Linked DNA regions of Oreochromis niloticus. The main gene of each other region encodes a partner of the protein of the gene in region 3 in a complex. Links are inferred from orthologs where the notes say so. Each region holds a gene or a part of one and is shown on either strand. Other genes may lie near its edges.

Region 1 (7,485 bases), about 490 kb from region 3:
TTCCTGTCCACGCTGGGGCCTCATAGCCTCACCTCCTCTTCTCCTGCGGGGGGCGCTCTTTCTACCTCTGTTGAAAAACATGACACTACAGCAGCTGCCACACCAGTTGGTGGCGGTAATGCACCATTTTGCTCTTTGCCAATAAAATCTATAAAGAAGAAGAAGAAGAAGCACAAAGGTTGACCGACAACAGATTGATGAAACCCATCCAGCAATCACAGTGGAGAAGATGATTTTGTTCACTGCATATGTAATAAATTGTACAGACCAAGTTAAACACAAAATGGAAAAGATTAAAATAATTGTAAAAGGGGCTGAGAAATCTTTTGGTATAAAAGATATTTCCTGGGAGCAAGTTCATAAGAGACTGTGGGGAGACGAGAAGGCAGGAGGACCAGGGGAGAGGACAGTCTGATCGTTATACAGTGGAACGCTAGAAGTTTAATAAGAAATGGACAAGAATTTAAGGGATTTATTAAGAATCTTAGAAAGAAACTGCATATTATCTGTGTTCAGGAAACTTGGCTCAGACCAAATTTGGATTTTGTTATTAAAGGGTATGAGAGTATTCGGAGGGATAGAAGGGAGGGCAGAGGGGGAGGGTGTGTTATATTTATCAAACAGGGAGTTCAGTATAGAGTGTTGGGAGAAGGGACACAGCTGGAGTATATTGTAGTTGAAACTTGGACAAAAAATGGAAGCATAAGCGTAGTAAACTTTTATAACCCATGTAAAAGACTGTCACTGGAAGTAATGGAAGAACTTGGGGGGCACTTAGGGGGGAAAGTAATTTGGTGTGGAGATTTCAATGCTCATAGCTCATTATGGGGAGATTACAATGACCAAAATGGAGCAGTGATTGAAGAATTAATGGAAGTTAAAAACTTGGTGTGCCTAAATGATGGAAGCAGTACAAGGGTCAACAGTAGGGACAGAATCATCAATTGATCTCACATTAGTGTCAGATTCTTTGGCGGGTGATAGGTTTGTAGCGTAAACCTATTCGCTGGAACGTTCAGGACAATTTGCTACACAGCAAGAACAAGACACAAGTAGGCAACGTTCGTTGTGTTACTCATGCATGAGGGAGGCCTGCCTGGAGCCAAGTGTCGTTCCACCTACTTGACCTCCATCAGACTCTCAGCCAGGTTCCCCATAGCACTTCTTTTATTGTGGTTACTTGAATATGCATAGGGTCATTAACATATAACGGCTTACATGGGTATACATGTGAACAAGGAATACCCTGCCTGTGGTTTTGTAAGTGTGTGTGTGTGTGTGTGTGTGTGTAAACTGCTGACCAAAAGGGTCATAAAGCAGGAACAACATCCTAGGTCATAAAGAGGGTAACCTCCCCACACCCAATCTATGGTTCACCCTAGATAACACAGTGAAGCCATACAAAGGGCAGGAAGTTTTACCACATCAAAAGAAGCAGATCTTCCAGATAGGATGTATCTGCAATAAAACACTATAGCCCCTCACCCAGAACCTCGAGAATCTGGGGAGGGGAGAACAAAAGAATTCCTTTCAACACACAGTTAAAGTACAAATGGTAAGAATAAAAATGACAAACATTTAACAATTCACTCTAACAGCGGGTGTTTGTTCATGGCGAGTAGTTAAAGAGACAATGGTGGGGACCATTATCCGGTACAGACTGAGATAGCAATGACTGTGGAGAGGTGTGATACAGGAGGTGTGCACAAATGGTGTTTTGGATCTGCAGACTGGGAGACGTTTGAATGAGTTAGTGATCTGGAGATGCAGCAAATTGATATGAATGTTAGTGTTGATGATCTAAATTCACCTGTGTGTGGTGCAATTCTGGTAGCAGCAAACCAGACTATAAAGCTGAAAAGAGGCAGAAACAGGACGATTGTAACCTGGTGGACAAAGGAATGTGATGAAGCAATTAGGTGCAGGAATAAAGCTTTTAGGGTGTTAAAAAGGAATCAGAATTATCAGTATTTTGTTGAATATAAAAAATCACAAACTATTGTGAGAAGAACCATTAAAACTGCAAAGAGGGACAGTTGGAGGAGCTTTTGTAGTTCTGTGGGGAGAGAGACAAACATTGGTAAGGTGTGGTCAATGATCAGAAGGATGAATGGCATTACAAGGAAATGTGGGTATCCAGTATTAAGTGAAGGGGAAGTCACAGCGGTGAAAGAAGAAGAAAAGGCAGATATGATGGCAAGAACCTTTGTTAAAATCCATAGCTCAAGTAATATTAGTGAAGAAGGTCAAAGGGGAAGAGGAATTACAGTAGCAGCAAACAGGGAGATACTGCAGCAAGTTGATGACACAAATGTTTCATTGAATATGCTGTTTACAAAGACAGAATTGAACCGGGCACTTAGGAAATTTAACCTTTCAGCACCTGGAAAGGATCAGATTTGTTACACGATGATAAGTCACTTGAGAGACTCGGCTAAAGAAGTTTTACTAGACTGTATAATAGAGTTTGGGAGGGAGGGAAGTTGCCACAAAGCTGGAAGGAGGCAGTGAGAATACCGATACGAAACCAGGAAACTACAGACCAACAGCTTTAACATCCAACGTCTGTAAAATAATGGAGAGAATGAGAAATGAAAGATTAGTGTTTTATGTAGAAAAGAAGGGATATCTGGCTCAGTATCAGAGTGGTTTTAGAAGAGGGAGGGGTGCAATGGATCCAGCTTTATGTTTAGAACATGAGATAAGGAAGGCACAAGTGAACAAGGAGAGTGTGCTGGCGGTCTTTTTGATATAAAGCGTATGATATGATGTGGAGGGAAGGTCTATTAATAAAAATGAGGGAAATGGGTATAAATGGTCGAATGTTCAGATGGATTAAGGATCTTTTGGAAGGACGCCAAATAGTAGTAAGTATTGGGAGGAGTTATTCGGAGAGTTTGCCAATAGAAAATGGAACGCCACAAGGAAGCATAGTTAGCCCGTTATTGTTTTCATTGCTGATAAATGTCAGGGTCAGATTATATGGACAAGCATTAGAAAGGGTAAAACAATTTAAATATTTGGGGTTGTGGTTTGATGAAAGGATGACATGGACTATACATATTCTGAAAATAATAGATAAATGCAAGAAAGTGTTGAATGTAATGAGGTGCCTAGTGGGAACTGATTGGGGGGCTGATAGGAAATCTTTAAAAGCTATTTAAACTGGGTTGATTAGGTCAGTACTGGATTATGGGTGTGTAGTATTTAATTCTGCTGCCAGAACAAGTCTTCGTAAGTTAGATAGTGTCCAATATCAAGTGTTAAGACTTTGCTCAGGTGCATTCAAAACAACATCTGCAGCAGCACTACAGGTAGAAATGGGGGAAATGCCGTTACAAATATGAAGAGAGCAACTGACATTGAATTACTGGGCAAGTTTACAAGGACATGGTCACGATCATCCGACAAAATCTGTTTTCCAACCATGCTGGGAAAAAGAGAAGTGAATTGAAGAGCTTTGGGTGGACAGTGGGACAGAAAGCAGCTGAACTTAATCTGGACAAGATCAACATAAGTCAAACAGCACCGTTGCCTACAATACCACCATGGATACCACCATGGATGCTCCCTGATGCAATAGTAGATTTCACAGTGTTAAACAAAAAGAACAAGGAGAGGGGTTTTATTTTAAATTCACATACAGCACAGGAATATATTAATCACAGATGCATCAAAGAATACAGCCAACCAAAGCAGGATAGCATTTATAGTTCCTGAGTTTGGTATCAAGGTGGGGAAAAGGATCAGTGGCGATTTATCAGTGTACACAGGTGAAATGGTTTCAGTATTGTTAGCTGTCCAGTGGATTGAAGAAATGAAACCACTAAGATCTGTGATATGTTCAGACTCGAGCTCATCACTGGCCAGTCTGCAAGACAGCCACTCAGACTGCAGACCTGACAATCTGATAGAGATCCAGCAAACATTGTTCAGACTTGTTATGATGGGGCTTGTGGTCACATTCTTATGGGTACCAGTGCATCATGGAGTTAAAGGAAATGAAACGGCAGATAGGACAGCAAAAGTTGCAACAAGAAGAGCGATGGTAGATATGGTTAATAGTGTGAGTAGGACGGAGTTCAAGAGTAGAATACGATACAAAATGAAGGAAAGGTGGCAAAAGCAATGGGAAGAGAGGAAAGGGCGATGGTTTTACAAAATCCAAAGGAAAGTGGAGGAAATGAGAAGTACAGGACGAAACAGGAGAGAGGAGACGATTATATCTCGACTGAGATTCGGACACACTGGTTTAAATAGCACATTGTTTTTAATAGGTAAACACTGTACAGGGGAGTGTGACTGCAGTAGGGCACAGGAAACAATAGAACATGTTTTGTTGCATTGTCAGAAGTATGATATTGAAAGGAGACAACTGATCAAAAAGCTGGACGATATGAAAGTGAAGTTGGACTTGATTGATTTATTTCGCATGAGCTGGTGGAGTTGGTGGCGGTAATGCATCATTTTGCTGTTTGCCAACCGCCAAAAAACCCTATACAGAAGAGGAAGAAGAAGACGAAGCTGCCGTCATTTCCGGTCACAAAGTAAACAAGATGGCGTCAGGCAGCGGGGTGAGTTTCTGAGCGTTTCTTGTTTAGAGTAAAAACATGAAAGCTCGGCGGTGTGAGCAGGGCGTGTTTCACTCTCGGGGTGTGTGGTAGTCGGGGTTGTTACCGGGTCCGGTTCAGGCCGGTTCTCCGTCTTTAGACAGCTGTTTGCAGCGCGCTTAGCTAGCAGAAGCTAGCATGCTAACCGTGACCATGTTCAGCGTTTCCGGTTTCATTTCAGACGTTTTCTAAACCTTATTCCAGTGTTCGTTAACCCGCTCTGTGCTGCCGGGCACTTCGTGTTTGTTTTTGTCCCTCCCGCAGCTCTGAAACAGATCAGCTGATCAGTGTTAGCCTGTTAGCACAAGCAGTATAGCTTCCCCGTCATCGGCCTGTCAAAATAAAAGCTTCACCTCAAAACAAGGAACTCAGCTCAGGCTTGAATTAAAATGTTTTTATTTCAGATATAAAGACCTGCTGCTTTTCTGACTTTAAGATGATCTGTATTTTAGTGATAAGCCACATGTTTGATTTGTAGAGAGAGGAGGCAGCAGGTGGAGGTGAAAGTTACACGTCTTTATTTTCAGAATCGCGTTTATTGGCCATGTATATGAGCAAACACATACAAGGAACTTGGCTCCGGTAGATGGTGACTCTCAAGCACAGCAATGTAAATCACAACAATATGTAAACGACCCAGTACACAGACACACACACACATCTCTGTATATACAGACATACACGTACACATGCACACATACATACACAAAGGTGTATAAACCAACTGTAAATAACCAATCTAAATCTTATATACATAAAATACACGATTAGCAGTTAAAAATAAAAGCTGAAGCTCAGACAGTGTTTTAACCTTTGAATGGGGAATAATCAATAATCCCAATATTGATTTCATGTCACTGAATCAATGTTTCTGTGGATTGTGATTTCCACTTTGTGGTCAGCTCTACAGGAAGTGCGCGCGGTAACGGCGGCGTCTCTCTTTTCTCTTCCAGTCGAGTAAAAACGACTTCCGACGGAAATGGGACAAAGACGAGTACGAGAACCTCGCCCAGAAACGTCTGGCGGAGGAGAGGGAGCGCGAGCGGCGAGATGGTAAGAACATCAGCCGCTTTGATTGTTCCGAGTTGAACATACTGTGCCTGCTCAGAGGGAGGAGCTTAGGCTTTTAATTTCTGTATTAACCTGTCACATGTTGGCACCTTCAGGGAAAACGGCGCCGCCGGTCAAGCGGGACCTCCTGCGTCACCGGGACTACAAGGTGGACCTGGAGTCCAAGCTGGGGAAGACCATCGTCATCACCAAGACCACGCCGCAGGCCGAGATGGGCGGGTAAGACCAGATTCACACGCCATCTTCAAGTTGTCACGCAGACTGAAACCAAAACAAAAGCTGAACGAAAGCAACCGCTGACATGTGACGTCACAAGTCAGCTGCAGCTGCTTTGCAGGTGAAAATATGGCGTGATGAAGGCTGAAGGTTCGAGCAGGCAGCTGTTTGTGACTCGCTGACAAGTGGAGGTCAGTGTCAGGACAAGCTCCGCCCACACCGTCAGCTGAAATCAGTTTAGCTCTGTTCTGTCAAACAAACGTGTCTGATGATCTCGCTCAAAGTTTGGGCTGCGCAGCTGCTGCCGCCATCCTCGTTATACAGGTGGTGCAAGGACATACGGGTGACCTTTTTTTCTTCTTCTGGTGTTTCAGGTATTACTGTAACGTGTGCGACTGTGTGGTCAAAGACTCCATCAACTTCCTGGATCACATCAACGGCAAAAAACGTGAGTTCACAGCTGAAAACGCCAAAATAATCTGATCAGAGAGGAGGCTTTTATTTTGAAAATCATGTCAGATTTCAGTCAGTGTTGCTGCAACTTCCTCCAACTCTGAAAGTCGAGTGTGTGTGTGTGTGTGTGTGTGTGTGTGTGTGTGTGTGAGAGCAGATCAGAGGAACCTGGGCATGTCGATGCGGGTGGAGCGCTCGTCTCTGGATCAGGTGAAGAAAAGATTCGAGGTGAACAAGAAGAAGTTGGAGGAGAAGCAGAAGGAGTACGACTTCGAGGAGCGCATGAAGGAGCTGCGGGAGGAGGTGAGGAGGAGTTTTATGGATCTCGTGAGGTTTTCGGGACAAGCGTGTTCCTCACAGGTGTCTCTGCTGCGTCTTTTTAGGAGGAGAAGGCGAAGGCGTACAAGAAGGAGAAGCAGAAGGAGCGGAAACGACGGGCGGAGGAGGACGTGGACTTCGAGGAGGACGACGAGATGGCGGCAGTGATGGGCTTCTCCGGCTTCGGCTCGTCCAAGAAGAGCCACTGAAGCTCCGCCTCTCTGAGGCAGGAAGCAGCTTTCTGCCCCGCCCTCTCTACATCAGGCGGAAGTTCGGACTTAGGCGGAGCTCATCTTGGACTCTTATTTTGTTATTCACAGCCAGACTCTTATTTTGTTAGTTCATCTAGATGTAATCAGCTGCTTCCTGTTGCTCACAGGATGCTGATTAAGTGTTTGTTAAATCCTGCAGGCAGTAAACGCAACAGGTCAGAGGTCAGACAGGAAGTAGCTGTCAGGAGTGAGAAGGCATTCAAGGCTGCACAGAAAAAATCTGAAATTTTAAATTTTGATTTCCCGGGTTTGTGTTTGAGCTTCTTCACATAAAGTTTTGATTCAAACACACAAAACATAAAACTTTATTTAAAGCACAGCTCAGACAGTTTGATCCCCGTCTGTATCAGCCCCTAGGCATGCTGGGAAATTCAGATTGTAATAAACAGTTGTTTTTTTTTAAATTTCTGATTGTTGCTTGTGTCAGTGAACGCACCACAGAACCCAGGCTGTTTGTTCCAGACATCAGAGTGACGCTTGCCTTTATTTCAGATGTGACACTCATTCAAGATCAGAGGTCACCTGAAGCTGGTCATCAGTTTACT
Region 2 (7,151 bases), on a different chromosome or scaffold from region 3:
CACAAATTCATTTTCAGTCACTCAAACTGGTGTTTACTCACGCTTCTCGTGCCTCTCTGTCCCTCTTGATGCGCTTCAGCTCTCTGACCTTCCAGGCTTCGTATTCCTCCTCCTCGTTCTCTCCATCGGTGTCCAGAGCGTCCAGAGCAGCCAGCGTGCGCCGGTTCTCCTCAAACTCCTTCTTGGCCTCTTCCTCCACGATCTTGAGGGTATAGCGCCGTCGCTCCTCCGCCTGCCGCTTCGCTTCGGCCTCCAACTCTCTCTGTCTCTGCTCCTCTGCTTCACGCTCTGCCACTGTGACTCTCTCTTTTCTGTGGAGAAAACAGTTCATGTGCTCATTAATGTTAAGGGCCTGGTATTCAGGCCGGTGTCGTTGTGATCTGCTTCCATCTAAAACACGAAGCGCAGCTGCTTTCTTCACCGCAGAGCTGCACGAGGGGCGGCTTTAACAGGAATAAAGTGTTCAGGAGTTACTTTGACAGAAATGTTCAGCTCTACTCGAGCTGTTTCCAAACACATTTTTGAGTGTGAACAGCTCCAGACTGTCCTGTATGTTTCCAAATGACATGAGTGTTCTGGATAAATGAGACAAAGCACACTTGATAAAAGACTCATCATTCACTCATCACTCAGAATATGTTTTCTCCATGTTGCTAATTTTTGTTCCTTCAGAAATGCAAGCAGACACTTCCTGTGTGTCTTGATCTGTCAACGTTCTGCACAGAAAACTGACCGTCTGCGACTGATAAATATGGTCTTTGGATTTACGTTGTTCTACAAACTTTCATCTCGTACTTGCGGATGAAGACAGGTTTGAGCCGCGGCTCTGCTTCGTCCTCGCTGTCGGTGTATTCCTCGTATTCAGACTCTGACTCCGACTCGTCTCCTGATTTCCCCTCTTCCTCCACCTCCATGACCTCCATCTCTTCATTCTTTCTTTCCAAGGCTCGCTGACGCATCATTGCTCGCCTCCTCTCGATTTCCTGTAAGTGTCAAGAAGAAAAAAACATGTCTCACTACAAATAAGTGAAGAAAAAAAAACTTTTGACAAATGTAAGCATTAAGGCACCTCATCATCCACTTCTTCTTCCTCCTCCTCTTCATCTTCACTGCTCTCCTCTCGCTGTGGGTGCCACGTGCCTTCATCAGAGTCTTCACTGCTCTCAGCCACAACTTCAGGCTCTGCTATCTGTCTGTGTCTTGCAAGCCTGAGGACAAACAGGCACAAACCATGTTCACGTCAGCTTTCCAACATGATCGTTTTGGTGAACTTGAATCAGATCGTAAACGCTGGGCGCCACCTCTCTTCCACGTCCTCAGAGACACGGTTTAGCAAACGCCTGAGACGTGGATCAGAGACATCCTCCTCCTCCAGCTCCACCTCTGTCTCCATTTCTTTTCCCTTCTTCACAAACTGGAAGTCTTCTTCTTCTTCATCAGACGACTCCATCGGCGCGTAGTCAGGGCGTTTACCCGACACGTACCTTTTCACCTTCACCTTCTCCATGGAGAGCTCACCTGGCACATGGAGAGACACAATCCTCTTAATCACACTTGAACCTACGTAAAGTTCTCCGATTAGGAATACCAGCTCAGCAGAACCACAAATAATACCAACTTTGAAGTTTCTCATTTTAATCTTTAGTTAAGACCAAGTAATAAATGTCATCATTTATTACTGGTAACTAAATCATTACATGACAAACTGATCACCAGAAAACTCATGCCTTTCTCACAGGACATGCAAATCATAAAAAATCATCTTAAAAGTACCTAAACATGAATTTATTTAATATTATACAATACTGGTAACCCCAAATGAATGATTACACACAGTTTGTCTTTCAGTTATTATTTAATTTACTTCTAATATCCAATTTCTTTGTATATAGCAAATCTAATAAAAACCTTTAAAAAATACTTTTATCAATCAACGAGTCCACTGACATGAAGCAAAATTTTAATTTAGAACATTTTTTTCTTTTTTAAGTAAGAATTAAATCCAACTTTTCTTAAACACACGTGACATCAAACTGAGTGTATTTACATGTATATATTAGTGCTATTTCTTACATTTGTAAACTCTGCAACATATTGTGTTACTTAATTAGTTTAGTCTGTTGCTGTTACTGTCTTGGAGCAACTGTAACCCACATAACTTCCTTAGGGATTAATAAAGATTCCGATTATGGGGTCACTGGTCTTTAGGTAACTGCAATGCCTGACAGTGCTGATGTCTGTGTATATACGTCCTCACTGACTTCAGGCCGCTCGCAACACGCTGATGCGGACAGTTTTTTTCTACTCTTGACTCTGTATTATGTCACACAGAGGGAATATCCCCAACTGGGTCATGTCACCTGCTCTAAAAACCTTCTGTTTAGGAAGGCCAGCCAATGAAAACCTTTGGCTTAAAGACGCAGGAGCTCGTTTAACACAGAGTGGACTGAAAGTTTATCTGATGTGTAAATCGTGCAAACCTCCCACTGAAGCACCCCACAATAAAAACGTGGCTCTGTTTTAATGCAACTCCACTCGAAGGCCGCAGGTAGTGCAGGATCCCATCAGGTTTATTGAGACCCGTTATCCAACTACAACTATGTAGACGAAGATAATTTTGTTAACACTTTCCCTCAATTGTTAAATTGTTACACTAATGTTATTAAATTAAGTTTAAAAAAAAGTACAGTCCATTTTTTCCAGCATATATCTTCGTACATAAATTTACTACCAGCTTTGCTATTCCAGCTAACTAGCTTAGCACGCAGCTAGGACCCTGCTTACTAACCGCACAAGCTCACCTTTCTCATTCCGGACCGGCACGGCTCCGGCCGTGGACTGGATCGGTGGAAGCTTCATGTTTAGGGCTTCGCGACTAGACATGACTGCCCGGTCCACGATATGCAACCGTACAAAGATTAAAAAAAGGAGTATTTCACTTTGACAAAACGAATTCCTCGTCGTCGCTCAACTCAAACGGAAGTTTGACACAATCGGCGAACGGACAGGAAGTGAATTTGCTCCGACAGTTCTTCCGCCGGTGAGCGATGACTGTGTTCATTTCACTTTAATACAGAAGATAATGTCATTTAGTATCCCCAGAAGTGAGGCATTTGGTTTACACGGGAAACAAGTTTGCGAAAAAATGATGAAGTTAACTTTCTAAAACAGGGAAGGGTGAAAGTGAATGTTAATATTCTGAAACGTTTTAGTGTAACAGCGCCATCTGCAGGCTGCTGAGCTAAACATTCATTCTTTTTGTACGAATAAATTCAATTATTTATTGTTTTCTTGGTTAAAAAGTAGAATAATTTCTAATAATCCGATATGTTTTAAATGTGGACATGTAACATGTAAAGGAGTTACTAAAACTATTAATGAAATAGAGATATCAGGTCGATTCAAGAGAAAATACTCAAATGAACTACATCTCCTTGTTGTTTTATATTAGCTTATTTATTTTCTTTTAAAGAAAATTACTGAGCATAAAATGTATAGTGATAGTGTGCCAAATTGTTTGCTTTGTGTAATGCAGTCCTGCAAATGTGTGTTATATCTAAATAGGCTTATTTTTAAACGGACCATCACAGTGCACAAGCTACAATTGCCAAATGAGGAGTAACATCTTTTACTTTTTAACTACTAAACACCACAACATCAGACATTCAACTTTCCTGCAAAACCATGCACAGAAAATTAGACACTGTAATGTAAATTCAATTTGATTTATTTTGAATATTTACAAACTAAAAAGCATTTTATTTGCATTTCTCCACTGTGTTGTGGCCCTGCTGTCAGAGCTGGACTCCTCTCTCTTTAAAGAGTTCCTCCAGCTTCTTCTCCAGAGCTGAATTGGTTCCTTTCAGGCCTTTCACCACCTCAGAGGCCCACAGGAAATACTCCTGCACCCGCTCAGCTGTCCAACCTGCCAAACACATTCAGAAACATAACTGAACAACATTTGATATGTTGTCTTTTGCACTTCTGCCAAATAAATAAAGTGTTCCAAAGCATTTCATCCTCTTCATTTTGTATTTTTATTTATTTTTTTACACAGCATTCCATTTTGTAGCAAACAGCACTGTGTCCAGAGAAGTACTGACCAACAGGAGTGCAGCGGTTCAGATCCCTCAGGTTGTACAGTTTATCAGCCAGTTTAACCAGCTTGGCCTGTTGGCTGCAGTGAGGTGCGTGTTCCACCTGTAGACGCTTCCTCTCCTGCTTGGGCAGGCTCTTGTCATCCGTCACCTCCTGAACAATGCGAGCCACGGTTACCCCAAATTTAGCTTCCAGCTCTGCGGGGGTGGTGTCGGTGTCTTCTACTGTATCATGAAGCAGGGCGGCCTGCAGAGCGGGAGGAAGCACATGGGATTACTGATGTGAGAATGCGTGCACGTGACTGTGACTAACAGTTAACAACTGATAACTCACCTGCAAAACCTCGATGTCTGTGACGCCCCCTTCGTGGCTGAGGATTCTCGCCACTCCTTAAAAGCACACACAGAAAGTTGTGAGTAGCAGAGAGGACAGTAAACAAGAAGCTTCACTGTTTCCAGGCTGCTAAGAGAAGTCACTTATAGAACAAGAAAACTCATTTATAATCAGACATTTCCTCTCTGAAGAGCTCCTTCAGAACTTTAAGTTTCTACACAACATAGCTCATAGCTCTCATCTGTAAGTAGGAAAATAAAACTCACACAGAAGAAGTGGACGAACCACCAGAAACTTCCTTTACACACAGGGACAACAAGGAGGGAGCTTAATCACTGGCTGCCCATCTATGGCACTCCTGCCTAACACCAAAATAAACGAATCCACTGAACTGTAGTCTCAAAAGATATTTTGAAACAATCACTAGCTCCTCTTTTGCATAATAAAGCAGAATGTCTAACGAAATGTAAAAATACAAATTTGGGGGGGGAGAGGGTTAAAAAAACAAACAAAGACAATATAATAAGAATAGATACATGGAAAATTAGATGAGAGGGAAAATAATTCATGTTTTTCAGTATTATTTTTGGTGCATTTCTTTATCCTTTCAAAGCTTGTCCCTTTAAGTCCCCCACAGCTCTAGTGGTCTGGAGCCCTGACAGGAAAAGCACTGCCAAGTGCTATCATTAGCTCAGCAAAGAAAAACGGAGCAGTGGGTAGTGGGGGAGATATTAGGTTCGTTGCAATCTGCAGCCTCACCACTAGATGCCGCTAAATCCCCTGCACACAAAAAGCCATTAGTTTTGTACGCCTGAACAAAAAACCGGATCAATCGTCCTCCACCTCCAACGTGAGACTATACACTGTGTGCCGAGCACACAGCCGAAAAATAACGTATCGCTATTACACGGCAGGCTATTATCACCAGAATCAAAATAAAGGCACTCGTGTTAATTGAAATATAGTTTCTGCAAAACTATTTGTTGCCATAAAATGGTAAACACTAAATATTAGTGATATAGCTGCAGTATGCGAGTAAACCCTGATAACTTTACTGGTTAGTTCTGATCGTACCGCTCCTTTCGGCTACTCCCTCCTTCCACGGCTTCCGGTATCGTATCAGTTAAACATCAGAAACTTTTTTTTCTTTTTCTTTTAAAGATAAGAGTGAGAGACTTCACGGGTTTACGTACAGGCCGTGAATGCATCATACTACCGTAAAAACACACCTACCTATGGGGTGATTTATATACGGCGTTTCCTCTGGATCTTTACGTTTCTGGTTGCGGTGTTTCTCTGCGGCAAATTGGACAGTTTCTAACAATAAAGCTGCATCTGAGTTCATGGTGTAAAAATCACGTCCTGTCAGGTCAGTAACAGAAAAACCGCGTTGTTAGGTGAATTAATTTTCAACGTCTTTCGAGCAAAACTGTGGCGGTCCGTTCGTATTATGATCCGGGGGGAAACAACTGGTCGTGGGATCATTCCAGTTATTTAGCTACGGAAGCAGGTAGCTGCTAACATAAGATATAAGATAAAGTGTTATGTTTCAAAAGACATAAACGGTCAAATTTCTGGCATTAATTTTATATTTTTGGGGGAAATTTTTACACACTAGTGTCAGCGTATTCGATACTTTATATCTTCATTTATGTGATGAATGTGATTTTAGCTTTGAAGCTAAGCCAGCAGGGAGGATAATCACAGCACAGATCTCTGACTGTTCTATATGTTTCTGCTGGTTTTTGTATCTCCATTATTAAACATTATATTTGTATATGAGTTATTTATTTATTTTCTTTGTTTATGCCAGCCGTGGATGACTGAGTGTTGTCCGGCCTCCGTCGTGTGTCCAGCATGGCTCACAGTGCCAGGAGAGACTCCCCGGAGCTCCCCGACTTCTCCATCCTCAAGAGGCTGGCCAGAGATCAGCTCATCTACCTGCTGGAACAGGTAGGAGCAAGTCACAGCTTCTGCTGAAGACATGCTCATCAGTAATATGACTGGCATGTATAGCATGCATATGGCACTGTTCTTCTTTTTTGTTTTTTATTATTATACTTTATCATTTGACTGCACACCCATTCACGAGCAACACGTCTGTTGGTATCGCTCAGAGCACAGAGGACCTCACTGGCCACCACAGACTCATCAAACATCCTGAGCAGCGTCCGGTGGATGTTGAAGGACCTCAGTGATGTCAGAAAATAGAGACTCCTTTGGCCTTCTGTGCTTTTAATGAAGTCTACTGTATTTCTTGTTTGTTTTATAGAATTATAACTTGTGTTTATGGAGATAACAATAAACCGTTTGTCTGGCAGTGGCTTTTAAAAGTGCCCACCAGCTCATGGAGTGATTTCTGCTGCAGAATCATGTCTATTTCTAATGCAGTGCTGCTGGAAAGCCAAAGATTGCAGCCATTTGCTTGAGATTTTATGTTGAGAAATATTACTCCTATATGCTGAACTATACTGTCTTCACATGAAAATTGTCCCCACCAAACTACAGTTTACTTTTGCCATAGGAGTCAGTTTTACAGTTTAATTTTATTTAATTAGGCAAAAATGAACATTGTCAGAATCAGTGGAGAAAGTGTAGAAACTGTGTGCAGACTAAGCCATGCACGCATTAGTTTGTGATGTACTTCAGACTCGGTGAAGACAAAAAACAGGAACTACAACAAAACAAGGGATGCTTTTTGTGTTGTGAAGAGCAGATTG
Region 3 (7,686 bases):
TTCTTCTTGATCTTCTTGTGCCGGGTTCCCTGCCTGAGGTAGGACAGGATCTGAGTCAGCTTGGAGATCACGATGTCATTGGTGGTCAGGGTGGTCTGAGCCTGAGAGACAGAACATGGGGCAACGTGAGAGAACGTGAGGGAACGATCTCGGGGCTCTGTGGTATTCAAATCATTCAGCTGGAGAACTCAGATGTTTTGGCGTGGCGATGACGCGGCGAGCCCTCGGCCTCACCTCCATGCTGGGACAGTCCGCCTTGCTGCGGATCAGCGTGGTGGGGATGTCGGTGTCGGTGAACTCGTCGTCCAGGTCGACCACGTACGCCATCCTGCCGGGCAGGAAGAGCTCGTTCCTCTCGGCCACGCCGGACCTGAACACCACGCGGTAGATGTTCCTGCCTGAGCGAACACGGAGACACCGGGAACGCCAGGTTCAATATTCACGTTTACATGATTTCTCCTACCAAAATATTCACGTTGTTCTAAAAAGATTCCGTTTGATCCGGAGACGATCCTCCTTTATTCCTGAACATTCCAGACTCACAACATTCACTCCTCGGTTCCCTCAAATGTTTCAGCTTCGGCTCAAACTCCCGTCCTCCTCCTCCCCCCACATCCACACTTTCCCTCCAGAAAACACGACTCACCCAGACGAGTCTTAAACTCCATCTTCTCCTCGGGCTCCACGTCCTTCCTGACAGACAGGGGAGGGGTCAAAGGTCACACAGAGACAGGTGAGGGGTCAAAGGTCACAGGGATGGACCAATGAGAGGTCAAAGGTCATATAGAGATAGATTAGGGGGTCAAAGGTCACACAGATGAGGGGTGAAAGGTCACACAGACAGACAGATGAGGGGGTCAAAGGTCACATAGACAGGTGAGGTTCTGATCACAGGGCTGCAGCTCTGCTCCGTGGTTCCTTACTTGGCTTCTTTCTGGACCTTCTCCATCATGTCTTCTTCTTCTTTCTCCTTGCTGGTGATCTCAGCTCTCACCTGTAACACACACACACACACACACACACACACACACACACACACACACACAGGTAAACAGCTGAGCAGGTAACACACCCGCACAGGTTATCCTGACGACTGTGACCTCTGACCTTCTGCAGCAGGGCGAAGTCCAGACCTTTCACCAAGTGAGTGTGCTCCATGTCACCTCCCAAGAACTTGGACTCCTGGATCAGCTGACGGCGCTTCTCTGCTGCCGACTTATCGCTGACACGTGCACACACACACACACACACACACACACACAGAGAGAGAGACAGACACACACACACACAGGTGAATGATCAGAGTTTAGTTAAAATGATAACGACCCGCTCCTCTCACCGCGGCCATGTTGGGGTCATCGATGGGTGGTACTCACGCCTCGGCGGTCGGTCCGACAGCTCGGTAGTTTGCCGTAGTGCTGATGAGCTCGGTCTCCTCATAGTCCTTGTTGACACCATCTCGCCGCTCTCTCGCTCGGTCTCGGTACTTCTCGGCGAGCTCGCGCTCACGCTCCATCTCCTGCTGACGCAGCTTCGCATAGTAACTGCAACCAAACCACAGCTGATCAATAATCAATAACGTGCATTTGAGGGTCAAAGCGGTGCCGTCTGTGGCCCTGAGTGCTGTGGACTGCTGTATGTGTCGACATATTTAACGCTCTCGTGCACATCACAGGTGAAAACTTCTGTCCAGGATTTTCATTATTAATAATAAAAAACTCTTTAAATGTCGTGAAAATTCATTCCCTTCCTTCCAGAATATTCCCGTGTTTCCACAATCCCGTCATGCATCCCAGCTGCCATCTTTCACTCAGCGAGCTATCAGCTCTGTGGAGGCCAGGTGACCTTTGACCGGCAGTTTTCTGATGTGACAAACATCCAATCAGCACCCACCTCTTCTTCTTTCTCCTCCTCGCTGCGGGGTCCTCATCCTCATTGTAGTCCCTCGGCATTCTGGGAAATAAAAACACATTTGTGTCAGCTGTGCTAGGAGTAAACAACTGTCTGCTGCTCTGTGACATCACTCACTCATGATGTCTGGACTTGGAGGGCGGGGCCGAGGAGGGCGTCGCCCGCGGCGTCATCAGCAGCTTCCTGAAGTCATCGTTGGTCAGTTTGGACCTGAGGACAGACGGACACACACACACATTAAAATAAAGACATACACAGTAACACAGTAGCAGCAGTGAGGAGTGTGTATCAGAGTGTGTGTGTGTGTGTGTGTGAGACTCACTGAGCTGCAGCTCGGTGGTCGTCCACATCATGGCCCTCAGGAGCCAGAGGGTTGGAGTAAGTCTCAGCTGAAAGACAGACAGATGTTAGAGCACAGCCAGCCCAGCAGGTGCGCGTCATTTAAAAGGACACAGCTGGGAGCTGCTCTGCTCTTTATATGTTCCCTGTTTTACACTCAAAAAACTGCAGATTTCATGGAAACTCTTTGATTTCGAGATAAACCGGCTTGGCCGATGTGTACAGGGACTCCTTCACTGTGCTACAGTTTTATTAACAACCTCTCAACAGCTTTGCGTTTCTGCCGCGGAGCAAGGAAGTTTTAAAGCGGCAAAAGTGTGAACGGAGTCTGGTGTGGCGCAGTGAGAGGAGAAGCTAGGCTAACAGCTGCTGTGAGAGGCTTTTTCTGTCTAACTGTTCAGTCCAGCACAGTCCTCATTCTCCCAAAGCCGTGTTTATTTCAATCATGTATTGAATAATTCCTGTTTTTATTGCTGCTGTTTTTAAGTAAACAAATAGCTAACGGCTAACAGCCCGTACAATGACTGTTAGCATGCTAACATGCGGAGCTAACGCTTACTTTCAGGCATCTCTGCGGGCAGCTGCTTCTCCTGCGGTCTGAATCCGGCCCGGTCCGGTCTGATCCGGTCACAGGGACAAACTGAGGCTCGGTGTTCGGATTTCTCTGAGCTGCTGCGGGTCTCTTTGCTCCAACCAAGCTCCGAGTTAGCTGTGAGGAGAGCTACGGTGCTGTGATGTCACTTCCGTTTTGATAGATAACAGACACAGCGCCTCCTGCAGGAGGAGAGGAGACACCGCGGGACAGACAGCAGTGTCAATAAACACCGCAAGATTTTTTAAACAAAAACAACAAGGCTATGTCCACACGTACCCGGGTATTTTTGAAAACGCAGATTTTTCTATGCGTTTGCACCTTTCGTCCACACGTAAACGCCGTTTTCGGTCACTGAAAACGGAGATTTCTAAAAACTCCGGCCAGGGTGGATATTTTCTAAAACTCCGTTTTTGCATTTACGTGTGGACGAGAAAAACGGAGAAAACGCAGCGTCAAAGGTGTGCGCCTTTTTTGACGTCACACTGTGCGCCACGTTGTTGTTTCGGTGAAATGAATTTCTACAATACTGTTACTGTTAATTGTCCTCTCTGCAGTGTCTAAATGCTTACATATACATGCACAGTTACTGTCCCTCCACACATACGACTCGGTTCTGCTTCTATGCCCCAGCTTTGTTTACTATTTCCCGCCGAGGCTTCTAGACTTCTGATTGGCCAACATTTCTACACGGTTAGGAATATATCGCCACCTGCTGCTTTGGCATGTTCGTAGCAGCGTTTTCCTTCATTTCTGCCTTTACGTGTGGACGGGATTATTTTTTAAAACGAAAACGGAAAATCTCCGTTTTCAAAAATACCCGTGTACGTGTGGACATAGCCCAAAACTGTATAAATCCGGTTAAAATGAGGTGAAAATAAAATAATAATAAAGTTATTATAAAATAGAGGCCGACTACAGTGTCTGTGTTTAAAGGTCATTTTCATGTAGTTTAAATGAAGAGTTCTTTGATTTGATGAAACGTTTGTTCTGCGTCACTGAGGGTTTTATTCACAGCTCAACTTTGTTCCTCACACACTGAAACACCCGCAGCTCTCCTGCCCGGTCACGTGTTGTTTCTCTGGCTCACAGCGCCCCCCGCAGGTCAGCAGAGCCACAGCTGAAGGTTCTCCAGGACCAGCTGGTGCTCGCTGCTGCGCCACCTTCAGGACTCACACAGCTTCACTCAGAGCTCCTTCAACAAACTCCAGAAAACCAGCAAAGTGTTTCTGTTTCACTGAGCCTGAACCATTTAAACCAGTCAGACCCAAACAAACCCCATAAATCCCAATAAACCTACAATGAAACTGAGTGTGTTCCCATTAAGACACCTTAAAACCAGTTAAACCACTTGATTCTCCTAAAATACCAGTTAATTTCCTGTACATTTATACACTCGGAGTATAAATATCTGAAATCCAGTTACATGCTCCCAGGAACTTCTTATTTCTAATTTCAACATAAACAAAGTAATGTGACTTTAACTCAGGAAAAACTTTGGATGCGTCAATAAACTCCCAGTAAACCCACAGAAACTCTGCTGATGGACCCAGTGACCTCACGGTAAACAGGGACGTTCACATGTTCACTTTATTCACATCAGCACATTTACAGAAACAAAAACAGGTGAGTGGATGGACTGAACCACTGCGGGCTCAGACGGGGGTCAGGGCTTGGATTGAGCCAGAGTCTGCAGAGCTTTGGCCACCTGATCAGCTGACATGTTCTCCACGGAGACACTCGTCTCTTTCCCGAAATCTGAACAGAGATAGGGATCAATAATAGGTCAATACACAGGTGACACATCTGAGTCTCCCATGATGCCGAGCGTGAGGGGGGCTCACCGTATCGGGCCCAGAGCTGGGCCTGGACTCCAGAACACTCCCGGATCAGGATGGGGAATTCCGGGTTGGACCTCTTCAGGGTCACATAGCTCTGCTCCACGAAGTCTCTGAAACACAGGGGGAAGGGGGAAGGTCAGCTGACCTGTGACCTCACAGCAGGAGCATCACCTGTCTGAGTTTCACCTGAACAACTGTTTATTAATCCCACAGGAAGTGATGCTGTCACAGAGACATAAACAGTGACCAACATAAATGTCCCAGCATAGATGACACTAATCACACGTACGCCGAGGTGTCCGCTCATCAGACGGTGTCCTCTGTAGGACGTTCAGTCAGAGGGACCCTGAACCTGCAGGTGAACTACAACAAAATGAAAAATAAAACATGGCCACTGTTTATTCATCTGCTCATCATTATTCTGTTACTAATGAATGGATTGATCCATAAATCAATACTCTGTCACGTGTCAGTGTTTCCCTCACATGACCAGATTACCAACAGTCTGCATGCTCTTATTTTGAAGGGTCAGTCCCTGCTAATGGGCAGCGAGGAAATGAAGGAGCTCCTTAATCTGACCTCCAGCTCCTTGTCTCCTCCATAACCTGACTCCTGCTGCAGGTCAGCTCTCTCTCCTCAGCTAATCACAGTGTGATGATGATGATGACGATGAAATCTCCTTCACCTTCATCTGTCTGTGATCCTGTGGGTTCACACAGGTCACAGCCATGAGTCATACTGTGATCATGGAGCCTGAGTGGCCGGCTCAGGTGTGTGTGTCACTGCGCAGACTCAGAGGTCTCCACCATGAACAAACATCTGGAACATGATGAACTACATAAGACTCACAGCCGAACATCTGCAGGAGCCAGAGCTTCTGTCCAGATGTGAGTCAAACCTCTGCCTCTGTGTGTTTCCTTTGGCAACTTTGTTGTTTAATGAGCTGCAGCTGCTGTTATCATCTCTCTTTATGAGTCTTCACGTGATCAGACAGATTTATCCTGACAGCATTCACAGGGGTCAAACCTGCAAACCTCTCACTGTAAACCCGAGTCCGCGGCGCTGTTAGCCGCTAGCTGTTAGCTGTCCTTCGCTAATGACCGCTCTGTCAAACCATCACCGGCTCTTCTCGCCTCAGCAGGCCGGCTCTGAGCTCACCTGGCCCCTTTACTGGCCGCGGAGGTCTGGCAGAGGTGCAGGCGGATCTCCCGGAGGTTTTTACCCAAAGTGGAGCCCAGACTCCTCACCACGGCGGCCGCCATCTTAGCTTCCTGTCAAGGACGGAGGAGTGTCACTAGTGCCCCGAGTTTATCCTGACAGGAGCAACATTCAACCCTGAGTTTATCCTGACAGGCACAATGTTCGACGATCGTGGCATAGTGCCTGGGGCGATCGTGGCTCAAGAGTTGGGAGTTTGCCTTGTAATCGGAAGGCTGTGTGTGTGTGTGTGTGTGTGTGTGTGTGTGTGTGTGTGTGTGTGTGTGTGTGTCGCGCTTTGCGGGACTAGTAAAGCGCTGTACAAATACAGGCCATTTACCTGAGTTTATGCTGACAGGCACAATGATCGACCCGAGTTTATCCTGACAGGGAGACACTATTTTGAGTGGTTTCTCTGGCCATTCTATATTTATTAAAAAACAGTTAGCTTTTAAATAAATTCACAAAGTATCTCAAATCATATGTCAAATAACTCAATTATGTTTCACAAGATTTTACTATTTTAATGATCCATAATGGTGAAAAATACCTTTAAGCACAGATATATTTTACTTTAAATGAACCTGAGCTGTTGTTTTACTGCAGAATAAAGACTGATGACTGACATCCACACATCAGTCAGCAGGTGTGTGATGTTGCTCTGACCTGCAGGGGGCGCTTCCAGCTCCCCTCACAGGGAAACTCTCACAGGCAGTGTCAGTGATTTCCAGTAAGACCAGTGGCTCCAGCGTTTCCCAGACCCCCTGTGATGGACTCTGATCATCAATCAGTTATCAGTTACAAAGAGATCAGTTAGTCACGTCTTCATGTTAATATCAGAGGAGCAGGGGAAACTGTGATGATAGGATCAGCAGGAATCAGACAGGCGGTGAGCAGTGTTCCCTCTAATGTTTCATGTGTCTGAACAAACACACACACTCCCTGAGCTCGGACCACTGTGAGCAACATCACATGTGTGCACTGTGGTCACGGCAGCATCACATCCATCCAAGTTACACGGTTTAGTAAAAGAATCAAATTACAGCATTTAGATGTCTGCTAGAACATCTAAGCTAGAACACTGTAGCCCACTAACAGTGAAAATTACAGAAATCTTGTTCATGACCTGTGGAGTGTGTTAACGCCAAACGAAGTAAAAATAACTTGAACTCCATTTTTGAAAACACTCAGACTTGTTTTGTGAGTCAGTGTGAAACTCCGGCTGTGGTCTGGAGAGAGTCTGAAAATATAGTAGATAATGACCAGTGGTCGACAGTTCACTGTGTTTTATAAGAATATGAACATACAGTGCATATTTACACTTCACCCAGCCGGCTGTGCTTCTGGCACACCACAGTATCTATTACTGGGTACGTAAAAAGCTGGCAACACTACAAGTGATATCAGCAGTGATGTCAGCAGTGACATCAGCCATCTCCCAGAGATGAAGAGGAGAGTCTGCTCCTCCACACTGAGATGACTGTGTCTGACGGAGGGTCGGATCAGGACAGGGTGGAGTTCCTGTCTGTGGTTGGGGATGCTCTGGTGGAGGTCTTATGTCACGGTCCCCGTGTCTCTCTGGTTGGCTCACGCTGGCTACAGGTTTTGTTGTTGTTGTTCTTTTTTGTTTTCTTTGTCTCTCCTCCTCCTCTCTGCCTGGGTGGAGCTCGTTACGGGCTCTCGCTCTTGGCCCACGCACCTGTGTGATTGTCTCCACCTGCTGTTGATCTGGCTGATTTCCCCAGCTGCTATTTAAGGCAGTGGCACAGAGCAGCTCACCGCTGGAACGTTGAACCTTCTGAGTTC
Region 4 (7,068 bases), on a different chromosome or scaffold from region 3:
GAAGTATCAGGACAGGGTGTGAATAAAAGTTATGAGTTGTGTTGCTGCAGAGAAAGTTGTTCACTCTGGTGAGGTCTAATGTGTCTAATGGGAGGCTGAGCCTTCAGCTTTCCTGTCACTGTCCTGTGTAAACAGAAACGCTCTCGTCTTTTAACATTAAACTCATAACTTTCCTTTTTGATCAATCTTATAGCTACAGCTAGATCAGCTGACCCTGTCCCATCCTTTAGTTATGCTGTTATAGGCCACAACTGTATGGTTTAAAAATAAACACTCATAAAAAATCATTGTTTCATTGTCTGGTTTATTCTTTTTCCATTTATCGATTATCCAAGTCCTTTTTCCAATGTAATTTAGAGAAACAGAGAAACATATGTCAATACTAAGCTGTTAAGAGGCTACTTACAATAATCTGAAACCTGTATACAGGCTGTGATCAGCTGATCTGTTGCTATTGTTGACCTGAGGTTTACTGCTTTCTGTGGATTTACACAACTGAATCCAACAAGATGTACACAGATGTTTCACAGATGTTTCCATCCCATACACCAAGGCTATTCAACTAAAAAGGGACACCTGCATTCATTCCAGCCCACTTTAATCTGCGAGTGTAAGCAATATAAATGATACCATTGGACCTAAACTAATCAGTCTGTTTCTAAAATCTCAGAAGTAGACAGTGGAGATATTTGCTTACTCAAGTAAAGCACAGATACCTGAAAATTCTTCTTGAGTACAGTAACAAAGTATTTGTAATTTGTTACTTCCCAACCCATTGTCTCGAAAGTACCATTTAACAATATAAACCTCTAGGCTACACTCCCACACAACAACAAAAATCAGTATCCTAATGAGGTCACACGTGTAATGTTTATCTTTAGGTACACAAAGCAAGGGTGATCCCCAGCACAAAGACACTTTAAAGTGATTGGCACAGTGATTTTACTTCAGAAACATGAAGAGGTAGAAAGGAAGCAGCAGTTTTCCACTTTACTACTCTCTCTTGTCCTTTTGTGCAATAAAAAAAGTAATTTCAATATCCAGGCTGTATACTGCGCTACCATTTTCCTCCCCTGGTGCATGACCTGAAATCAGCTGGTTGTAGCTGAAATGCAAGTGGAACCGATAAGCAGGTGTCTTTATTAAATGTTTTTGTTACTACAAAGTCAAAATTTTATGATGGTTTCAGTATTTTAATCATTGCAAGCCCTGCATGTTTTCTGGAAGAAGAAATGACGATATCATTAATTAGATTATACGACATCCGAATCAGATTTTAGAGGAAGAGTTCACACCAAAACGAAATGTTTGCACTTTCCTATGTCCTATAATGTTATGGCTTCATTCTAAGACATCTGCTAAGGAAATGCCAGAAATGCCTGCCAATAAAACTGAAAAAAAAAGATTAAAATGTTAGTTTCTTCATGGCTCATAAAGCAGCAAAAATCAAAAAATTGAAAAACATCTGGAAAAACTGAGAAGCAATATCTATTTGCAGAAATGATAAACTGGTGACTTAACACTTAAGGGCTGGGGGTTGGGTGGGGTGCTCCATAACTGTTTTTGTCATGTAATTGGATTGCACTTTGTCAGGCCTCTACCCTAAGACCTGACCAACTTGGGTGTCCCACCTGAAGGCTAAGCTTCCGCTGATCTAGCTTTTAGGGTCACTGAGGCACGCAAACCCCCTGACCACGTTAAGGTGGTAATCTCTCAGGGGGAAAACAGAAAAACAAAACAACAAAAAATAAAATAAAATATTGCTAATCCGATTCTAACAACTCAAAACATGACATTTACCTTAACCGGATGGCCTATATAATAAATATATTCGAACCCAACAATAGTACGTCACACTACTGCCAATATCAACAAAACCAAAAAGGGTAAGCCAAGACATAAAAATAGACAATTCACAAAGTCTTGAAAAATAAAACTGAAAAATAGAAATAAAGAATAAAAATCCTCAATCCACTCTATAACAACAGTCTCCTGCTTCTCTTTCCAAAAATTCTTACAGATTCATCCATATCCAAGTTATATGTTATGGACTTCTCATGGGCCAAATTTCTCTTTCCTTTATGTAACAAAAGTAAATAAGCTTTACTAAAATCGCTGTAATTACATCAGTATATGAAACGAGGTAACTGTTGAGTGCAGAGTTGAAAGCTGGTCTGACAGACACAGGTGCGTCTGTGCAGCAGACTATGGAACGCCAGGACTGCCATAATGAATAATTAAATACACCATTAAATAATTAATTAAATGTGGCAATAATTAATTAAAATTGGAAATAATTAATTAAATAAATATTTACGACATATTTAATTAAATAATTATTGACACATTTAATTAATTATTTAAAGGTGTATTTAATTAATTCATTATGGCAGTCCTGGCGTTCCATAGCAGACAGGCTCACAGTGGGATTGAGAAATAAACACTTCTCTACCAGACTGAAACTGTGAGAAGAACAATGGCCTAGTCCCCCACTGACTGTACAAATATAAACTTATTTTTTAGTTGTTAATTATCGAGTTCTTGTGCATAAAAACATGTGGAAGTCTGTGAAAGTGCACCTTGTGTAGGAGTCGCAAGGAAAACCTGTACTAGAGAATGAGCTAAAGCAGCTCAACTTAGTTTCAGTATGGAAGCGCAGAGCTGCCACCCAGGCAAAAGAAAAATAGAAGTATATCACGTTATAACGTGAAAAGTTTATTGTTCTAACAAGATACTTTTCATGTTTGTACAATATACTTTTCACGTTTGAACAACATAATATCACGTTATTGCAATATATATAATTATCACGTTCGTACAATATAATATTTATATTGTACGAACGTGATAATTATATTGTACGAACGTGATAATTATATTGTACGAACGTGATAATTATATTGTACGAACGTGATAATTATATATATTGTAATAACGTGATATTATGTTGTTCAAACGTGAAAAGTATATTGTACAAACATGATAGTATATTGTACAAATATGAAAAGTATCTTGTTAGAACAATAAACTTTTCACGTTATAACGTGATACACTTCTATTTTTCTTTTGCCTGGGTGGCAGCTCTACGCTTCCGTAGTTTCAGTGTTTAAACTGTCATTTATATTTTTTCAAAGCAAAGCCCAATGCTGTCGCCACTGAGTGAGCATCAGCGCCCTCTGCAGTTTGTGTGTAGAAGTCAAAAAAGCTTACAGCACCTGGTATTCCCAGGCGGTCTCCCATCCAAGTACTGACCAGGCCCGACCCTGCTTAGCTTCCGAGATCAGACGAGATCGGGCGTGTTCAGGGTGGTATGGCCGTAAGCGAGAGAAATAGCACATAAAAGGCCTTTTATAGGTGGCAAGTGTCACCCAGTTTAATATACATTATTGCGTTTTACAGCGAAAACATGCAAACCTTCGTTATTAACTGCAGCTTCAACATTGAGGTACAAAAATGCTTTTCCCGCAGTAACATCTCAATAATAACACTTGTTAGTTTATTACAGCACCGTGTTAAAGTGACAGAGAGCACACGGTGTGTTAGGACGATTTGTAACGTCAACTAATGCCTTCTTATGAAGGTACGTCTGTGTATATCAGTGATCATTATATAACTAACCTAACAAACTCCTTTTGCCTTGTTTGCTTTTCCCATTATCTCTGCCTACCTTGGTGCTGCTGGACCCCGCATTTCTCTGACGTCCCTCACATGGGCCACCCCATTTTAAAAATCTTGCAAAATTTTTCTTAACAGCTTTGTAATTAAGTTAAATGTAACTTAATATCAAGGATACAAACATCATTGTTTATTTTCTACTTTTTGCCTTTCTTTTCTGGTGTGCAACAAGCATACAGGTTATTTATTGTTTTTGACTAAATAGTAGAAGACGTAGAGTGCTATCATGATAAAGCGTGCAGAAGAAAGGGGCAATAAATGTAGTGGGAAACTATTTTACAGATATTGTTTTTCTTATGGCGCCCATTCGCGATAATTCCGTTAATCTTGAGGTCTTTGTCGTCATCTGCTGTGCACAATACAGTACTACAGTCTCGCATTTCCGTCAGGCACTGTGTGGGCCAGCTCTTGCGACGGCGTTTTGGCTGGCGAAGGACCCACCAACGGCGGTTCAGCGTCGGCTTCTCAGGGTTTCAAGGAAATAGTTTTCGTAAATGAAACTTTATCCATCTGAAATCAGAGTCATCTTACTAAGCACACCGGTAAATATTATATCTTGCAGATCTGCATCTTTTCCGCAATTAAACGGACGTTTAATGTGTGTGAAGTTTGCACTAGCTAAAGTAATATAGCAAGAAAAAAAAAGGGGGGGAAGCGTTAATCAGAAGTGGCGCTTTGTATGAATGGGCCATGTTCTCAGACTCTTGGATTGATGTAAACGATCTTTTTAAGTAGTTTAAATTCGTGTTAAAGGAATGCGTGACCCCTATTGCACGGTTTAAAAGCACAGAGGGTAGTACATAAATGTCCGGGGAACGTTAATTTTCTCACAGCTAATGTTGAGCTAACGTTAGCGGCGCCGTAGGTTTTGTGTCCAGCAAACACTACACCGCTCCACCAACTTTTCATAGCAATATTGTGATGAGTGCAGTCGCTATGTATTGCTCCACAGTCCACTACAGCTGACCTCAGTTTGAAGATCCCTCATTTGTCACCAGTGCGACCGCGTAGCTTATTGTGACTTTGTCCAGTGGTCTCAAACTTCTTGATTCCTTACTGTAAATACACTTTTGGTTTTCTTTGTTTACAGTTCTGAGCCGGGTTAAGCGCTCTTTCAGCTTCCTCTGAATAAGATTTGAGTGGAAGCCATGTTTCTCTACAACATCACCCTGCAGCGTGCCACTGGCATCACCCATGCCATCCATGGAAACTTCTCAGGTGAATTTACGCCAGATGTCACTGCTTTATGTCTGGTTAGGTCATGGTTAATTTATCAAAGCTTGGTAACCCTCCTTTATTGTCAAAGAAGCCTTTAACTGCAATCTCTATGAGAATTAGCAAGCACATTTAATTGTTTTATTTAAGTATCTTTTCTTGTGTTTGTATAGTCATTAGATTTTATCCTATCATGGTGTTTCACTCATTATGTTGATGGAGATAATGTAAAGCGTAGTTTTCTCATGGTTAAAAAATACATAAAAGACATGTCACATAATGCTTTTTTAAAAGCAGGATTTAGGGAAAACCAACAAAAATATCTACGTGATATGTCTGATTTGTCTGTTTTGGTAGGAACCAAGATGCAGGAGATTGTTGTTTCCAGAGGAAAGATCCTGGAATTATTACGACCAGATGCCAACACAGGAAAGGTGCACACTCTTCTCACAGTAGAAGTGTTTGGCATCATCAGATCCCTGATGGCCTTCAGACTCACTGGAGGAACCAAAGGTACAGAAATTACATCATATGCACTCACATGCATGTGTTTGTAACTCTAAACATGCATTGCACAGATTAAATGGCATGTATTAATAATTTTCTCTTAAGTGGTTTTTATTAAATTTTTTGTCTGACACTGATGTATTGTTCGTAGTTGCTTTCTTTTTTTATTCATTTACAATTAGGAGGGGAAGTTGGCCTCCATTGGCTTTCATTACCTAAGCTTTAATTACATGATAGTATCATAATTAATCTAATGTTGACATGCAGGTTTAGTTTCTAAGTGATATTTATGTATTTTTAGATTACATTGTTGTGGGGAGTGACAGTGGTCGTATCGTCATCCTGGAGTATCATCCATCAAAAAATATGTTTGAGAAGATCCACCAGGAAACATTTGGGAAGAGCGGTTGCCGGCGTATTGTTCCTGGACAGTTTCTTGCCGTTGACCCAAAAGGCAGAGCTGTAATGATAGGTGAGAATTTTATGAAGTATGCATGAAATCAGCATTTGACCAGTATGAGGAGTCCATCCTATCAGACAGAACACAGATGTTTGTGCTCTGTTTAGTTTTATTGTGCTATTTTCCTTCTCTCGTAAGATGAGCACCCTTTATTTGACAAAGATGAACAAGAGCTAACTTTATCATACACACTGCTAGGATTTTATGTGTAATCTACTGTGGTGTGTTTAGCGTTGGATGTAATCACCACGAAAAAGCCCATTCAGTGCCAGGAAAAACCCTTGCATTACAAACCAACACTGAAAACTATGTACTCCAAAAGAGTCCATCAGTTAAGACTGATGTGTTTTAAAGGTATTTATTATAATGTATGTTTTTTGTTTTTTTTAGGGTTATATAGTGTGCGTGAATCTGCAGCTTTGAAACTGCATGAAGCTCTTTGCAGCAAGACTTTATACAACCTGGCCTGTAGTGATTTTTAAATAACTTAATATATAAATATATAAATAACTTATTTAATTTATTTGTTGTTAAGTAGGCTGCGTTTAATTTGAATCCTTTGAGTCCTACTTGCATTTGAGCAAAGTGGGCCTGGATAGCTTTATAACATCTATGTTTCTAAGTAGGCCTAAACATACTAACAGATGCCTCTCTTTTTTTTCTCCCCCAATTCAAAATTGTTCCATTTGGTAATAAATTACTTTTATGATTTGACAAATGCAACAAAACATGACATTTTTAACGAAACTGCAAAGTTGATAGGTTTTATAATATGTTTTGTGGCTCCATACAGTTATTTATTTATTCATTTATTTATTTATTGGCAAAGACAAAGGTTGTCAGCCTATTAGATGATAATTTGGTTTATAGGCTGATGATTATTTTTCTTATATTTGGGCCTTGGTGTGTTAGTATAATGTCAATGGTGTAAATATTGCTATAATTGACTTAACCCCAAGAGCTTTACAGGTGCTTAATATAATAAACCAGCATCAAATGCTATAAATTTGGTAGTTCTACATCAGATAATTTTACCTTTGACAGAAGTGCTTTGTGGAACAATTACGATGTTAAATAATGTGTGCTGAATTATTGTTGTTTGAATCCTGAAGAAAATTTATATATACACATATAAATAGTTGTATTAAAACCAGTTAAATGAAGCACTTTAATGTGTTTTGTCATTTATCTGACTAGGAGCGATAGAGAAA

The links.
Region 1: ik (region 3) and zmat2 share a complex: the UniProt entries of both Homo sapiens proteins name them as parts of the spliceosome B complex. The link is inferred for Oreochromis niloticus from reciprocal best matches to the Homo sapiens genes IK and ZMAT2.
Region 2: ik (region 3) and mfap1 share a complex: the UniProt entries of both Homo sapiens proteins name them as parts of the spliceosome B complex. The link is inferred for Oreochromis niloticus from reciprocal best matches to the Homo sapiens genes IK and MFAP1.
Region 4: ik (region 3) and sf3b3 share a complex: the UniProt entries of both Homo sapiens proteins name them as parts of the spliceosome B complex. The link is inferred for Oreochromis niloticus from reciprocal best matches to the Homo sapiens genes IK and SF3B3.

The regions. Positions count from the first base shown.
Region 1 is NC_031975.2:32,927,399-32,934,883, forward strand, and holds zmat2 (zinc finger matrin-type protein 2), read left to right. Parts: upstream 1-4,463; 5' UTR 4,464-4,556; coding exon 4,557-4,574; intron 4,575-5,563; coding exon 5,564-5,663; intron 5,664-5,776; coding exon 5,777-5,900; intron 5,901-6,271; coding exon 6,272-6,345; intron 6,346-6,507; coding exon 6,508-6,653; intron 6,654-6,733; coding exon 6,734-6,877; 3' UTR 6,878-7,344; downstream 7,345-7,485. UniProt on the Homo sapiens protein: Involved in pre-mRNA splicing as a component of the spliceosome.
Region 2 is NC_031965.2:1,538,436-1,545,586, forward strand, and holds the start of mfap1 (microfibrillar-associated protein 1), read right to left. Parts: upstream 3,023-7,151; 5' UTR 2,884-3,022; coding exon 2,802-2,883; intron 1,519-2,801; coding exon 1,302-1,518; intron 1,209-1,301; coding exon 1,070-1,208; intron 984-1,069; coding exon 796-983; intron 312-795; coding exon 42-311; intron 1-41. Other genes in the region: hddc3 (guanosine-3',5'-bis(diphosphate) 3'-pyrophosphohydrolase MESH1), read right to left, coding at 3,795-3,925, 4,104-4,344, 4,432-4,487, 5,665-5,776; vps33b (vacuolar protein sorting-associated protein 33B), read left to right, coding at 6,289-6,384. UniProt on the Homo sapiens protein: Involved in pre-mRNA splicing as a component of the spliceosome.
Region 3 is NC_031975.2:33,418,485-33,426,170, forward strand, and holds the start of ik (protein Red), read right to left. Parts: upstream 3,021-7,686; 5' UTR 2,820-3,020; coding exon 2,810-2,819; intron 2,301-2,809; coding exon 2,234-2,300; intron 2,122-2,233; coding exon 2,029-2,121; intron 1,954-2,028; coding exon 1,894-1,953; intron 1,545-1,893; coding exon 1,377-1,544; exon of another isoform or gene 1,292-1,376; intron 1,223-1,291; coding exon 1,108-1,222; intron 1,048-1,107; exon of another isoform or gene 1,015-1,047; intron 995-1,014; coding exon 924-994; intron 694-923; coding exon 647-693; intron 399-646; coding exon 235-398; intron 102-234; coding exon 1-101. Other genes in the region: ndufa2 (NADH dehydrogenase [ubiquinone] 1 alpha subcomplex subunit 2), read right to left, coding at 4,509-4,600, 4,687-4,793, 5,842-5,945. UniProt on the Homo sapiens protein: Involved in pre-mRNA splicing as a component of the spliceosome. Auxiliary spliceosomal protein that regulates selection of alternative splice sites in a small set of target pre-mRNA species. Required for normal mitotic cell cycle progression.
Region 4 is NC_031972.2:7,733,414-7,740,481, forward strand, and holds the start of sf3b3 (splicing factor 3B subunit 3), read left to right. Parts: upstream 1-4,059; 5' UTR 4,060-4,217; intron 4,218-4,765; 5' UTR 4,766-4,823; coding exon 4,824-4,893; intron 4,894-5,247; coding exon 5,248-5,403; intron 5,404-5,698; coding exon 5,699-5,869; intron 5,870-7,054; coding exon 7,055-7,068. UniProt on the Homo sapiens protein: Component of the 17S U2 SnRNP complex of the spliceosome, a large ribonucleoprotein complex that removes introns from transcribed pre-mRNAs.